Arabidopsis thaliana: one gene and its partners. The protein of the gene in region 2 interacts with the protein of the main gene of each other region in a biochemical or structural test. Each region holds a gene or a part of one and is shown on either strand. Other genes may lie near its edges.

What was found. Proteins that work in one complex are often made in the same cells at the same time.
Region 1: the proteins of IAA12 (region 2) and MP form a complex in vitro, tested with the Arabidopsis thaliana proteins (one study listed by BioGRID).
Region 3: the proteins of IAA12 (region 2) and AFB3 form a complex in vitro, tested with the Arabidopsis thaliana proteins (one study listed by BioGRID).

What each region holds. Positions count from the first base shown.
Region 1 is NC_003070.9:6,885,091-6,891,956, reverse strand, and holds MP (Transcriptional factor B3 family protein / auxin-responsive factor AUX/IAA-like protein), read right to left. Parts: upstream 5,289-6,866; 5' UTR 4,605-5,288; coding exon 4,472-4,604; intron 4,322-4,471; coding exon 4,206-4,321; intron 4,098-4,205; coding exon 3,999-4,097; intron 3,909-3,998; coding exon 3,852-3,908; intron 3,764-3,851; coding exon 3,608-3,763; intron 3,529-3,607; coding exon 3,444-3,528; intron 3,368-3,443; coding exon 3,277-3,367; intron 3,181-3,276; coding exon 3,016-3,180; intron 2,934-3,015; coding exon 2,811-2,933; intron 2,726-2,810; coding exon 2,514-2,725; intron 2,435-2,513; coding exon 1,281-2,434; intron 1,189-1,280; coding exon 998-1,188; intron 902-997; coding exon 775-901; 3' UTR 553-774; downstream 1-552. Other genes in the region: AT1G19860 (Zinc finger C-x8-C-x5-C-x3-H type family protein), read left to right, coding at 1-303. UniProt on the Arabidopsis thaliana protein: Auxin response factors (ARFs) are transcriptional factors that bind specifically to the DNA sequence 5'-TGTCTC-3' found in the auxin-responsive promoter elements (AuxREs). Seems to act as transcriptional activator.
Region 2 is NC_003070.9:1,238,475-1,242,677, reverse strand, and holds IAA12 (AUX/IAA transcriptional regulator family protein), read right to left. Parts: upstream 2,385-4,203; 5' UTR 2,097-2,384; coding exon 1,894-2,096; intron 1,622-1,893; coding exon 1,335-1,621; coding exon of another isoform or gene 1,303-1,334; exon of another isoform or gene 1,254-1,302; coding exon 1,136-1,253; exon of another isoform or gene 1,063-1,135; coding exon 1,001-1,062; intron 918-1,000; coding exon 868-917; 3' UTR 521-867; downstream 1-520. Other genes in the region: AT1G04540 (Calcium-dependent lipid-binding (CaLB domain) family protein), read right to left, coding at 3,617-4,203.
Region 3 is NC_003070.9:4,368,208-4,372,909, reverse strand, and holds AFB3 (auxin signaling F-box 3), read left to right. Parts: upstream 1-1,611; 5' UTR 1,612-1,827; intron 1,828-1,964; 5' UTR 1,965-2,129; coding exon 2,130-2,581; intron 2,582-2,657; coding exon 2,658-3,153; intron 3,154-3,245; coding exon 3,246-4,031; 3' UTR 4,032-4,150; downstream 4,151-4,702. Other genes in the region: AT1G12810 (proline-rich family protein), read right to left, coding at 4,390-4,438.

The DNA of each region.
Region 1 (6,866 bases), 5.6 Mb from region 2:
GGCGGGGATAGACAAGAGACGCCGCCAGTTCAACATCTCGGTTATCGATACAACCTCCAACCTGGAGGAGGACCTAACCCGGAGATGGTAAATAGCAGTAATAATAACCAGAGGCCAAGGGATTCAAAACCCAAGATAATGAAGGCTTGCATGTACTTCAACAGCGCAAGGGGTTGTCGCCATGGAGCTAATTGTATGTACCAGCACGATGCTACACCCTACCAGCCGAGGAATCTAAACAATGGTAATATCAACACTTCTGATATGCAGAATGCAAAAAGAATGAGATTTGACAGAGACTGATGCAGAATTAGCATACCACACATGCTCTCTGCCTCTTGCTGTTAGCAGCAGAGCAATTTTTCTATTTTCTCTTGCCTGGCTTTACTGCAATATAAGTTTTATATACATTTGAAATTATTTCTTGGTTTTATGCCACAAATGTAGAATTAATTAGCGAGTATTATTTGGCTCACCATCACAGTAGTACTTATACTATCCCTAGTGTTTTTAAGATGATTTTCTACACTTTTATCTTTAACATTGTGCAGAAAAAAGAGTAAAATAATCACAAGATTTCTAAGACTGTCTCAACTACTGATTCATTCATCACTCTACTACATAATATGAATATAGTTTCAGGTCTCAAATCGGAACAACACATCAAATGCTTACAACAAGATGGTTTCTCCTCTACCAGTTGGAGAAAAGAACATTTCTTACTCTCTTTTTTTTCTTACAAATCAGCATGAGATCATTTTTATATTGTTACATTTATGAAACAGAAGTCTTAAGATCGTTAATGCCTGCGCTGTTCAAAAGCTTCATCCCTTCTTCACTCATCTGCTGGACCTCAGTTGGCGACAATATCCTTATGCACCTTACGCATCCCACAAACTCTCTGCACCAGTTTATGTAGTTATGTAAGGAAAACTATTGTAAGACTGATAGTCAGATGAAGTTAATGGATTCACAGAACAGTGAGAGAGAGACTTACTCCCATGGATCATCTCCTACAAGCAGAACATCACTCTCATAATCAACATATACAAGCTTCCAACCCGAGCTTTGTGGGTGAGTTAGTAGTCCTTCCAATCCAAACATGCATTCGATAGCAGATTTTAGCTCCTCGTAGTCTTTAAAGCTTGTGACATCAATTGATCTCCCGACTGACCCGGTTTTTTGAACCTGCCAAGTCAAAACATTACCCAAACCCCAAAGTTTCATGTCAGATTGTGACACAAGAAATTTGTGGAATGAATGAGAGATAATCTTTTTACCTTAGTGTAGGTTCGGACGCGGGGTGTCGCAATTTTCTGCCATGATGAGCCTTTACTATTTTGCCGCAGACTACAATCATCAAAATCAACATTGCTTGAAGATGTACCAGTGCCTCCAGAATTATCTGGAAAATCTTGGCGAGAGAAGGCCTGTGAGTCTGCAAAGCTAGCTGATGTGATCTGCGACTGGACATCTTGAGCAAAGCTAGTGTTGTTGTTTCCAACCAAACAACCAGAAGGGTGGTTCTGGAAATCAGTGTCTTTGATGGCACAGAAGTCATCAAGGACTGTGTTTGAGAGTGGAGGATCTAGAATGTTACTGGTTGTGCTATTACTCATACAGATATTCTGACTAGCATAAAGGTCCTGCTGCATCAAGGGACTGAACTGGTCAAACTTGAGACCGTTCAACTGAGTGTCCCACACATCATGAAACAGCGGTGAGTTTGTGGAATCCGGTAACACAACAGCTGAAGAATCCTGGGAGGATAGAATGAATGGTTGCTTGTATGATCCGGCAAGAGACTGGAAGGAAGAGACTTGTGATGTCAGCTCATCAGTTTCCAGGAAAGAGAATCCATTTATTGGATCAGACTGTGGTTGGTAAATCTGATGAGTAATGTCAAGACATTGATCAGCTTGTACAGGCGACGAAGCACCCGGTTTCTGAAGTAGCTGATTAACCTTTTCCTCATTACACACTGTGGATGTAGTAACCTGGCTTGCCTGTTCCATTGACTGCTCAAGTCCATGTTGGACTCTACCAGAGCTGCAACCAGAGAGTGTAGAGTTCTCAGGTTTAGCAGGAGCACTCATACTCTGTGAAAGATTCTGTTCTTGGCCACTCGTATTAGAAGCAGATGGGTTCACTGTTAGCTTGTTTTGTGGCTGCACCATCTCAGATTTCTGGTTCATCATCAGGGGTTGCTGCATCTTCATATCTCCTAGCAAACCTCCATTCCCCATTACAATATTCTGCTGCATCTCAGACATGAAAGATGGTACATTTTGGTTGTTGTGAGGCCTCATCATCATTTTCATAAGCTGCTCCGAAGCCATACTAGGGAAAGATGCATATGGCATAATCCCATTCGCGGAATCAGGAACACGTATAAGTGGCCGTTTTATCAAGCTACCCCATTCAGTTTCACCAGCTGCATATTTCATAACAAAACTTTAAGGCAGCAAATCTCATGTAAAGTTCACAACAAGGCACACTTATATTTTACTCACCAAAGTAAGATGGATGGAGCTGACGTTTGAGTCCTGAGGTCAGAGAAGGAAAAATGAAGAGACTTTCAGGTGTTTCGATATCCCATGGACTGACCCGAGTAGGTTTATCATTACATCCAGGCTCATCCCATTCTACCTGAAGGTTACGCCACTTAGAACCAGGCCATCTCAACGGATCCAAATCGCTGATTCCAACAATAGTTCCCATGTACCTAAATACACAACCAAAACGTGTATAAGTGAACAACCAAATTTGATAAACAAAAACAGAAAGATTGCAGTTTACGGATAACTTACCTTCGTTTCCCGGAATCTTCAGTTTCAAACATCATTCCAAATCTCATACCAACTGAGAGCTGAGACCCGCATATCGCCTTACGGTACTTAGCTAGAGGGATCACGAACTCTGCTGGACAAGCTCTGAGAACAAACACCATAAGTTACGTTACAACTAAGAAAATAGTTTTATATCATTGAGGATTGAAGAAGCTTTTGAGCTAACCTTGGATTATAGAATATCAAAAAAGGAGTACGGTTGGCGGTTGCGTGAGCAGCAGCAGCAAGAACACCGATGTGCATACTATCCGCTGAGAGAACTGATGAAGGAAGTGCTGTTTGTTGGCGATTGGCACGCCTAACACCGACCATAAGTTGTGACTTCTCATCCCTTTTGGCACATTTTCAAAGGACAAATGACAGTCAGAAGATAAGCAACACCAAAATGAGTCAGAGCCAAAATATCTCAATAGCCAAGGTTTTTCACCTGATGAACAAAACAGAATCCCCAGCTCTCAATCTCTTCGATCCAACGAACAAACTCCATCCTGTAGTTAGGAGATGTCTCTTTGGTTGCCCTGAGAATGTAAGCAGGAACTGAGCTCAATACCAACTCAATCTAAACAGAGAAAGAGACAAATCTAGTGGTTATACCTCGGTAGATATGGCGAAATGTCCAAGTATTCTCATGAAGATCTCGAACTACAAGCTCTTGCGTTGGCGGCTGTGCTGAGTAGTCCTGCAATGTATTTAACATAACATTAGCAGGCTAGCAGCAGTTAAAGCAATAGGAACATATGAGGAAAAGAGAAGCTCACCAATGGTGGAAATAGCTTCTCTGCAGCTCTACGTGGCACTGAGAAACCTCCATGTGTGCTTGTGTCACTTGCAGTAAGTGTTTTGCAGAAAAACTCAGTCGGGTGCTTACTTCCTCTCAGCATTCCAAAGTCTGGTACAGGGAACACATCTCTCTCCTGATGCACACAAACCATTCAAACTCATTCAACTTCAACATGAGTTCTTAAATGAAACAAAAGGAAGTTGCAAGAATCCAAAACTTACAGAGTGAACAGGTTGAAGACTCATCTGAGCATAGATTTCGTCACTGTCTTTGTCAGCCTATCAAAGGGGAACAAAACCATTGTCAAGAAATATCAAACTTGGTTGCAATTTGTTTGGATACGAAGCAAATGAGAAAGATTGGCGTACATGAAGAGTAACATTATGGACTTGACACATCAACTGAGATGGAAGGTTCGGATAATTAGGAACTTGTGTTGTTGCTGATCTTCTGGTTGAAACAGCAACCTAATAAGTCAAAAAGTGAACAAAAAAAATCAAACCTTTTGAACAGGAGCTAACAAGATCTAGAGAAGTACAATGTGTTTGTTTGTTCTTTAAGACACACAAAGTTACCTGCTCGCTATGACCTTGTGAGAAGTAATACACTAAGCTCCCAACTTGAGGGAGACACACCAAAGGGCCTGCACAAGCGTGCCATAGCTCCGAGTTTATTACCGGCTTTCTTGTACCTGAAAAATGTTCAAAATCGCATTTTTAGGGGAAAGTAACAAAATTTCTAAATGTCATTAGCATAAATTATGAAACCTTTTGTTATCACAGTTTATTCTTAAAAAGGTAACTTTTTTAATAAAAATCTTGAGAAAGAAGAAGATGAAAACCTGACTGGTCTTTCAACAGCTTCATCTCTTCAAGCAAGGTAGATTGAGATGTTGTTGTTGTTATAGTTCCTCCACCATTAACCAAACAACTTGTTTTCATCTTGTCTTCAACACAAGACAATGAAGCCATCATACAGAGAGATTTTTCAATGTTCTGTTTTGTCTCTCCCACACTCAACACTAACTAGGCTTTAGCAAGACTCAAGAGTTTTTCTTTTTCTTTACTAAGTCTTCATTTTATTTTATTTAATACAAGAAGAGACAAAAAGAGCTCTATTGAGCAAAGAGGCTACAAGAAGATAAATCCAGGACAAACCAGAGGAATTAAAGACAAAGCCATTTCATGGAATCTGTTTTTTTTTGGTTAAAGAAGACTCCAAAATCGAAGGACAAAACCCTTACACATGACAAAAACAGAGTGGGAGAGATTAAAGAACATACAAAATAGGGACTACACAGACAAGCATGTCTCTCTTGTGGGGCTCTTGCCTCTTCTCTTTCTCTCTCTCCACTCTTCTTTTCTCAGACCAAATTCGACCCTTCAATGAAGAAGAGAAACCAAAGGTGCCATCATGAAACCACACAGTTTCTTTCTTTGGTTCCGGATGCAAACAAGAACAAGAAGCAATTGAGAGAGAGACAAAAGCTTTTAAGAAAAAAAAAACTTTTGCTTTCTTTTAATTATTTCTCTGAAAAATCCCACATTTTTTCTTCTTCTCTCTCTAATGTATATGAGTATTAGTATAAATGTGTATGTATAGGTTTTATTTTGCTTGGAAATGGGAAAGAGTGTGCATGCTCTTATCCTGCGCTTAAAACTTTCTGTATATGGCGATGCCGTTGCAGCTTTAGACTCTTTAAACGAATAATATTATATTTTATTGTTTCCCATTAATTATAAAATAAAGTTTTGGTATTTCAATAGATACATCTATATTATTATTTAATGTTTTAGAACAGTTTACGTCAAAAATTTAATAAAGTAGAGTAAGCACACGTAATCTCTGATACGCACAGAAACGTAGTTGAATGTACAAGTACTTTCAATGCTTATGTTATAAGGCAGATAATAAAGCTTAAAATAAGTACCATGAGTGAATATTATTTTAAAAAGTGTCCTACTTTTTCAAGAACTTTGTAAAATATAAAATGTTTTTTGATTATGGCAATAAATTAAAATTGATTAAGAACTTTATGACAAAGGAGGAGGCTTCTTTTTTCGTTGCAATAATATATACTTTTCTCAAAATGTTAATCTTTTCTTGCTGAGATTTCGTAAAAGGGATGTGAGTGGTGAGACTTTGGGAGATCTCTAATACAAGGTGCGTATGATAGGAGAGAATGTCAAAATAGCGTATATTAGCACGAAGCCTAAAGAGGTTACGGGAGGAAGTGTATCTTCCAATCTTTTTTGCCCGGGTGTTCTTTTCCTTTCCAAGTTAAGGACTTCAAAAATGTTTTCTTTCTTTGGTTAGAAAAAGTTATTTTGATATTTGCAAGATTTGGTATAGAGATTAAAAAAGATTTAAGTATGGTTTAGTTAAAACTTAAAAGTTATAAGGTGGTATTGTTTATATATACTTAAGAGTTAAGACCACCTCCAAATAAATTGAAAGGACTGTTGTTTGTGGTTCTTGCATTTGTATTGAAATTGAGCTTTGTAAAATATATTTGTATCTACAACAACCAAAAGAAAGGAATATCTTGGTTCTCTGCACCTGTAAACATAGCTTGTTCTGCTCATTATTAATATCTAATACTCTAAACCACATGTGTAATTATGTCTAATTGTGTATAGTGTGTACCATTACATCTTTAGACCTTTTTAGTTACATACATTTTTTTTTTTTACGCACACATCTCTAGTTTGACCTTTCCATTGTTTTCTTGCGACGAAATAATTGACATGCGGTCATTGTATTATATTGTATGATATGAAACCATATCACTTTCCATATCATTACTTATCAATCATACGTAAATAAAAATCGCTTTCCTTCATGTAATATTACTCATAAACAAAATACAAATGAGCATAGTTAAGTTATATATAGGATTAGTACACAATCCACATTATCACATATTAGAGAAAAATAATCAAACATATTATAATTTATAAGTGGATATATAGTAGCATCATTATGATAGAATATCTATATAAACATAACTACTTATTCGGATACGCGTTTGTCACTAAGATATATTTGAATCAAAGGATCTCCAATCAAGTATATAATGTGTGGAATTTGCTGTTGGCAGCACATTTTAATATACAGTTCAAATTTAGCAAGGAGTGAAACATGCTTTTGATGATAATGGAAAAACTCTCATTTCCGGTGCCAAGATTGTGTGCCATCAGCAAAATCTTTGGAACAAATAGTCATTACGTATAACG
Region 2 (4,203 bases):
TTTTATCAAGGATCATGAATCTTCCTTCTTCCTTTCTCTACAAGACTTTAATTTACTGGTCTTTTGACTTTACTACTTATCCTTTAATCTTTGGTTGGACTTGCTAAGCACTGTATCTCCTTTTCTAGGTAACAAGTTAAATATTACCTAAACAATCCATAACCTTATTATATTTTGATTTGGTGACGTGAATCCAAACATTTGTTATTTTCTTTGTCTTCAACTATCAGATTAAGAATAAAATCTTTACTTTTCAAAGTTTATCAATTTAAAGTAGTTTGCAGTTTTAAAAGATAACTCTTAACGTATTTTGTGTGAATTTAAGAACAATTAAGGACAAAACTTTTGATGGTCAAAACTTTTCTTGTCATCAATCATCAATATATGATTTTGATGGTCTTAGAAACATCTTCTCTTCGACCAAAAAAAATAAACATCTTCTCTGTTTTTTTTAATGACACACTCTTCTCTGTTTCTGCAAAACGTTTTGACTCGAGTCAATGGAAACTTCAAAAAGACAGAAAACAACAAACCATATTAAGGAACAAATATTCATTCTTTGGAATCATAAACATAACTCTTATCACATTAATTAGATAACTTCAACTATTTACAATCTGAGAGAACAAATAAACAAGAGCTTTCTCTCACAGAACATAGATAATTGGTACACAGCCAAAGAAGAAACAAACTGGAAAACTACGAATTGAATGACCTAAGCAAAACCATATCCGAAAACCGGATTCAAATCATATCTAAGCTTCTGCATGCTTTTATCCATATTCTCCAAAATACTTTCTTCAAAAAGTATCGAGTAAATTGCAAACCTCAAACAATACATAAACAATGCCAGCTTTGGAAGGGAAGCTAAACAGGGTTGTTTCTTTGTCTATCCTTCTGCTCTTGACGTCTTGGAGCTGCATTAAAAATGATTCAATCAGTCTTTTTCATTAGTCAAGACGAGAAATCAAGAAACCAGAAGATGATCTTTAAAACTTACCTAGTCCACTAGCTTCTGAGGTTCCCATGATCCGAAGCCTTTTCACCGAGTTGATAAACATTCTAAACAAAAAGAGAGAAAAGAGACTAATCAGGTTTTGAACTACTGCAATACTGCTTAATATCCGAATCTTACCTCCATGGAACATCTCCAACAAGCATCCAATCCCCTTCCTTATCTTCATAAGTGAGTACAAAGTCTGATGATCCATCTAAAAGCCTTAAAGGTTTAACCTTTTCTCGACAAGTAGTACCTGATAGATAAAACAGAAACTATCAGTAGATTCATAGAAAACATCGGGTTTATAGTGTACGCATTTGAAAACAGTACAGACCTGTCATTCCAAAGAACATTTCCTCAAGCGTCTGAGCCAAGTTTTCGTAAGACGAATGAGCTCTCATATCCACTTTTCTGCCTATACCAACTCCATCCATATTCACCTTAACAAACCCTAAGCCCTGAACTTTCGGATTCACCTTCATTGACACATCTTTGAGCTCATCATTCTTCACAACTTTCTTCTCCCCGTCTCCTTCTTCCGCTCTTGCTGCCTTCATAGCTTGGTTATTAACCAAACTGTTCATCCTGTGTAACCCAATTGGTGGCCATCCTACCACTTGACTGCCACAACAAACCAAGAAATTTCCACTCAATGGCTCTCGAAATTCAGATGTAATCATCTAAACAGACATTAAAATGAACAAATCTTAGCATTTGCATGACTCCATAGAGAAATCTATAGCACAGGACAAGCACAAGCTCATCAATGGAGATAGATACCTAACTCTTATTCAGGGTAAACTAAAACAAAAGCACCTACACAATTCTGTCCTGAGATGGCATAACACTCACATCACAAGATTTGAGCTTTCTTAATAAGAAAAAGGACGAACCTTGAACGAGGAGGAGAAGCTCCTTGGTGAGAGGAAGATTCAGCAGAGCGTTTAGACCCAACGGAAGGAAAATCCTTAGCAGTAAGAATCCTCCCACGCTCTTTCCACGCGCCACCACCGAGGCTGAGCCCTAATCCCAATTCCAGCTCACTCTCCGCCGGAAGATTACTCTTCCCCACCTCCAATTCTGACACACCACGCATGTCAATAACAAAACCCTAGACTCCAATGATACCAGCAGAGAAAGTGTCTTTCAAATAACCCACACAAAAAAGAAGCTTGATGACACAGAGAGAATGGAGACAACAAGAAGAGAAAGAGTGTATTTAGGGTTTGAGAGAGACGAGAGAAAGAGATGATGAAAACAGAGTAAAAGAGAGAGAGAGAGAGGAGGATTTTGGTGGTGGAGAGAGTGATGAGAATTGGGACCCATATGTCTTGTAATGGCCATACCAATTTTTTCTAACCAAAAGTCTTCTCCTTTGTTATAAAATATTGTTTGTTTTCTCTCAAAACTTGTCTTCCGACATAATCAAACCTGTTGTGCTCTCGTTGGGATATCGTTGTTGTGTTTGGTTCAAGCAGCAAGAGAAAATAGAGAGTCCCAAGAAACTTGTTTACAGTTGTATGTGTGTGTGCAAGGTTTTGCTTTGTGTTGCTGTTGCATCATAATATAGTTCTTTTTTGTTTTCTTTTCCGCTTGTGGTTTTTTTCTTTTCTTAACCAAAAATTGTATTGCTTTAGCCTTTAGGATGAAGAGTCTCTGTTTTAAATACCATTTTTCTTTAATTTGGGCTAATCAAAAAATCTAAATTAACTTTTATATTTCATATACTATGTATTGGTTACATTGCTCCTAGATTTTAGACCTAATTTTAGTCTCTCTTTAACAGGTTGGCCATCATTCTTTATACTAGCAAACTCGTTTATGGTCATATGCCATTTGCATATTGACCATTTGATTATCTTTCTTTTCTAATAACTAAGATAATATATATTTTCAACTTTTTCCTTAGACCATGATTGTTGTCGAACAAGATTATAAAAGAAAGTGAGGGAAAAAAAATGGTGGGAAAAGATGCATTATTATAAAATCGTGGTGATGAGATATTCATCATTATGTTTGATGATCCTTTGAAAACTTTTGCAGGCGCAATTGGTTTGTGGAAATTACACTTTTGATCAAAATCATTATCAAGGAGTACATAGATTTCATGCTCTAATTGATGGATTTGATAGAAAATAAACTAAATAACCGGTTATATCATGTATGAATCAAATAAGTATACATAATACATGAAAGTATAGTTAGAAATGCAGAATTTGTATATTTATTTTAGTTTTTTTTAGATTAATGTTTATATCATTTTGTTTCTTTTTAATTTTAGTCACCATTGTCTACAATACCAACATTTGTTCACTCACTCTTAGATTTCATTTTTATATTTTTTTTATTCCACTCACTCTCTTACATTCATTCACAGTTTTCTAATTTTGTTGTGTGAGCTCACTTTCTATTAAACACTATATTATAAGAAGAACATTTTTTAATTTTTTAAAAATAAGGAAGAAGAAGAGGAATACACAAAAATAAATGATTTATTAACACAACATTAATAAATTAATTTTTGTTTACTATTTGATTAATTCATCAGCTCAGATCCTTAAAAAATATAGTTTTCCAAAAAAAATAAAAGTTAATATAAGACCAATAAAATAAAGATCACACAAAGCTCAGATCGTCAGCGGAATATGTGCGTTGCACACGTCCGGCTCCACCTTTCTTAGTAGATCCTTCTGAGACCATCGGCCCACCACCACCACCGCATACGAAACTGCATTCCACACCACAAATCTTACTAAAACACGAGAAAAGTCCATTACCTCCATCTGTGTGACGGCGGTTATGCTTTTTCGTCGTCGGAGTTTTCCGTCTTGAACTCATTCCTCCCCCGGCAGTTGCAGCTGGAACGCTCGCGCCATCGTAATCAGTGCTACTTATATGGCTTGATCCTATGTCGTACAACGGTGGAAGCTCTGTTCGCCATCTCTCGAGTTTTGATCGCAATCCTTCGATGCTAGATTCATCGATGCTCCATTCGCTGAGTATTGAACTTTCCGTTTCGTGCGATCTATCTTTCGCCAATTTGTCAGCCACTTCAGATGGCGATGGTCCTAACTCCGATTCAGTTAAGATTCGTCTTCCAGCTAAATTCCTCACTGGTGTACCAAAATCGTGATGAGTTCTCATCGGTGTAGCCATGTAGTTTGATCGGATCGGGGTTGATCCGACGATGTTTGATCTCATTG
Region 3 (4,702 bases), 3.1 Mb from region 2:
GTCAACTGAAACCAAGATAATGGTGAAATATTTGGGGCTATCGATGGTGAAAATGGAGATGATTACTAAAAGGTGGCATTCACATGGCAGCCATTGTAGCATATGATGGGTCAAGAGAGAGGTGAAATCATCACTATATAACTTTTTTGGATTAAAAAATAATTTACTTTTACCAAGACAAGTGTTGATTTTCCAGAGAGTATGAAGATACAACAAAGGACTTAAACTTGTTTCTACATACGAGTAGCAATTAGGGAAATGTTTAGAGGATTATGAAAGATTATTAGTTGATAGTATGTGATAGTAAGTACTTGACCAATAATTAGTGCCATTTATTTTCAAAACTACTAAATTAATGGTGTGCTAGAGAAATGACTCTAATCTTTCGAGTCTCAACGAGTAGTAACAATGATTTTGTTTGTGTACTCTTCGTTCTTCCCCTTTTCTCCATGTAATAATCTGCAAGTGGGTCTATTATTGAGTTTGATTATGCCACCTTTTTGCTCCTTTTATATTCTTTTTTTCTTAATGATTTTTTTTTGGTTTATTTATCTAGTAGATATATATAAAAAAAAACTAATATAAATATTATAAATTCTGAATTTAGGCAGTAAAACACAATTAAACGATGATTTTTAGAATTTGTCTTAAATATACAGTATATGACAAATCGAAACAAAATGTACTACTTAAAAATCTTTTTATTGTTTGAATAGTAAACTTGTTTGTTTTCAATAGAGTTACGAATTAATCGAGATGGAACCCTACCCATAACTACCTTCTTTTGAAAAAGATGGGAGTTTGATTAGCTTTTGGATTTGTTTGGTTATGAAAACATAAAAAAATAAAAAAAATCTCATCAACTTCTAATTCCGTAAAAGGTGTCATCGTCCCAACGACAAATTTGCTTCTCTTCTTTTCGTTTATTCCACAGTTAACTAAAATTACGAGTTTATTTGACTATAAATTAACGAAATAAGTGTCTAAAATGGGGATAACAAATTTTTGACAAAAAAAATAACATGATGTGGGAATAACAACATACGTATTTGATGCAGTACGATACGACAGTACGTTGGATATTATTTAGTTTCTTCTTATTGTACTTTTTAACGAATTAAAAATACCGTATTATATTAGATTAACCAATAAATATTAATACACATCAAATATCATTTTCACGAATACTTTTCACATTGTTGCACTTTCTAACAACCGTGAAAGATTGATTATACGTAATCAAAAACGATTAAAACCAATAATAAATTAATTCAGTATGGAACATATTATATTTTCCTATTGGCCATGAAAGCTTTTACATGGCAATTTAGTAATAACATAAAAAGACAAGGGCATTGTACATGTCCCTTGCTCTGACACTAATGCATCACTTCACCCTTTCTCTTTGGCGAAAGGTCTCGTAAACCAGTGGTGAGCAACACATGCCATAACCAATTAACCATACCACTCCTCAACGGTCAAGATTCCTTTTTATGCTATCCATTGAACCATTCTCCTCCGTTGGATCATCCAACACCCAACAAGCTTTAACTTAACCATGGTTAGTTTTTTGGTCAGCTAGGTTAAAGCTTCTCTCCTCTTGATTAAATTGTTCCATTACAGAGTTTCTGGTTTTTTTTGGCTTGCGTGATCTCTCTCTTCTCTTCTCTCTCTCACTCATCCAAATCTTTGATCATCTCATCATCATTGGACTTGAAGCTAACTCCAGAGTTTTATCCAGATTCATCATTTTCCAACGTTTTTCTTCAATCGAATCATCAGCGAGTTTGGTTCCGACGACGATCTTAGTAGCTTCATAAGCTCAAGGTCTCGAAACTCTTTCTAGATCTAGCTCATTTACTTTCTTGTAGATCTGAATCTTAATCTCTGTGTTTAGTTTATCGAGTTTCAGGATCTGTTGTTTCTAAATTAGTTTGTATAATTTGAATCTCGCTTTGTTGCAGATTCTTCAGGTTTCGGTGGATTTTCTTGAGCTCTTCTAAGCTTCTCCATTTTGTGAGCCTCCGATTTCGAACCTGGTAGTGTTGTGGATCTCACTGGACCACGAAGCTTTCTTCACTGAGCTAAGCTTGAAGTCAATTCCTCTGTTCGACAATCAATAGAGGAAGATGAATTATTTCCCAGACGAGGTTATAGAGCACGTGTTTGACTTCGTAGCTTCTCACAAAGACAGGAACTCGATATCTCTGGTCTGCAAATCATGGCACAAGATCGAGAGGTTTAGTAGGAAGGAAGTGTTCATCGGAAACTGCTACGCGATTAACCCGGAGAGGTTGATCAGGAGGTTTCCATGTCTCAAATCCTTAACTTTAAAAGGGAAGCCTCATTTTGCAGACTTCAACTTGGTTCCTCATGAATGGGGAGGTTTCGTGCATCCTTGGATTGAAGCTTTGGCTAGAAGCCGTGTGGGACTTGAGGAGCTGAGGTTGAAGCGGATGGTTGTAACAGATGAAAGCTTGGACCTTCTTTCACGTTCTTTTGCAAATTTCAAGTCTTTGGTTCTTGTTAGCTGTGAAGGGTTTACCACTGATGGCTTAGCTTCCATTGCCGCTAATTGCAGGTAAAGGCCTTTCTTTTACTGGCGTTTCTCTAGGTTTTATGTTGTTTTTAAAATGTGTTGTTGTCTTTCTTATTAGGCATCTTCGTGAGCTGGACTTGCAAGAGAATGAGATTGATGATCATAGAGGTCAATGGCTGAACTGTTTTCCAGATAGCTGCACTACTCTTATGTCGTTGAATTTCGCTTGCCTTAAAGGAGAGACCAATGTTGCTGCTTTAGAAAGGCTTGTTGCTAGGTCACCAAACCTGAAGAGCTTGAAGTTAAACCGTGCAGTACCGCTTGACGCACTCGCAAGGTTAATGAGTTGTGCGCCGCAGCTAGTGGACTTAGGAGTAGGGTCTTATGAGAATGAGCCAGATCCTGAATCTTTTGCAAAACTCATGACTGCCATTAAGAAATACACATCGTTAAGGAGCTTGTCTGGCTTTTTAGAGGTTGCTCCACTCTGCCTCCCAGCGTTCTACCCAATTTGCCAAAACCTTATCTCTTTGAACCTCAGCTATGCAGCTGAAATCCAAGGCAACCACCTCATTAAGCTTATTCAGCTTTGCAAGAGACTTCAACGATTATGGGTAAGTTTGTTCTCACTTTCTCTTTTCACTGTCCTGAAGAAAATAAACTAACTTGCTAACCTGACAACAAATGGTTTTTATGGTTCCTACAGATATTGGATAGTATTGGTGACAAAGGACTTGCGGTTGTCGCTGCCACATGTAAAGAGTTACAAGAGCTTAGAGTTTTTCCCTCTGATGTACATGGTGAAGAAGATAACAACGCATCTGTGACTGAGGTTGGACTAGTCGCCATTTCCGCAGGTTGCCCTAAACTTCATTCGATTCTGTACTTCTGCAAACAGATGACAAACGCAGCGCTCATAGCCGTGGCCAAAAACTGTCCAAACTTCATCCGGTTCAGGCTATGCATTCTCGAGCCACACAAACCTGACCACATTACATTTCAATCACTGGACGAGGGCTTTGGTGCAATCGTACAAGCTTGCAAGGGTCTAAGACGGCTCTCTGTCTCCGGTCTCTTAACCGATCAAGTCTTTCTCTACATCGGTATGTACGCGGAACAGCTCGAGATGCTTTCGATAGCTTTTGCGGGGGACACTGACAAAGGAATGCTCTATGTGTTGAATGGATGCAAAAAAATGAGGAAGCTGGAGATAAGGGACAGTCCTTTTGGGAACGCTGCGCTTCTTGCTGACGTGGGTAGGTACGAAACAATGCGATCCCTTTGGATGTCGTCTTGTGAAGTAACACTCGGTGGCTGCAAGAGGCTCGCGCAGAATTCGCCACGGCTTAACGTAGAGATCATCAACGAGAATGAGAATAATGGGATGGAACAGAATGAAGAAGATGAAAGAGAGAAGGTTGATAAACTTTACCTCTACCGAACAGTGGTTGGGACTAGAAAAGATGCACCACCATATGTTAGGATTCTTTAGTCTCTTTGCACCTTCATGTGTTTTCAAACTTTTCTTTGTACTAGTTTTTGCCTTTTATCAAACTTGGAACAAATACAAATGTCGCATTTTATTATCACCGTAATTCAGCCATTGAAAACATAAATTTAGGTAAAATACCAATCACGTTTTCCAAATAATACAAATTACAATGACATCCACAAGAAACCTACTTGTCTAATCCATGCTCTGGATGAGTGCACTCTCAAACAAAGAGGTAAACATTAACAGACATTGACACACGATAGTACACAAGACATAGAGTGTTATGGCATATGTCTTCGATTAGACACATAATGCTGACAGTAAACGACGAGATCCACAGAGACTGGCGGCATTCTCAGAAGCAGCATTCCTCCAACAAACAGCAACAGCAAAGAGCAGCAAGACTGCAATTCGCAACCCACAAAAAAAAGGATTCCGTAATCGCAATTTGTAAGCAACATGATTAGGCTACTTGAGGTCAATCACAAATCTCTTACTAAAAGAAAAGCTGCAGATGATATAACATTTTATCTACAAACTTTATACTAAATATTATGGGGTTAAGAATGTAAAATAAAAGCCATTAGGTAGTTCTTAAGAGAGTCACTAGATCCATTGAAAAGTAAAAGATCCTGTCCAACAGATAAACATAAAAATGTGTCTATACA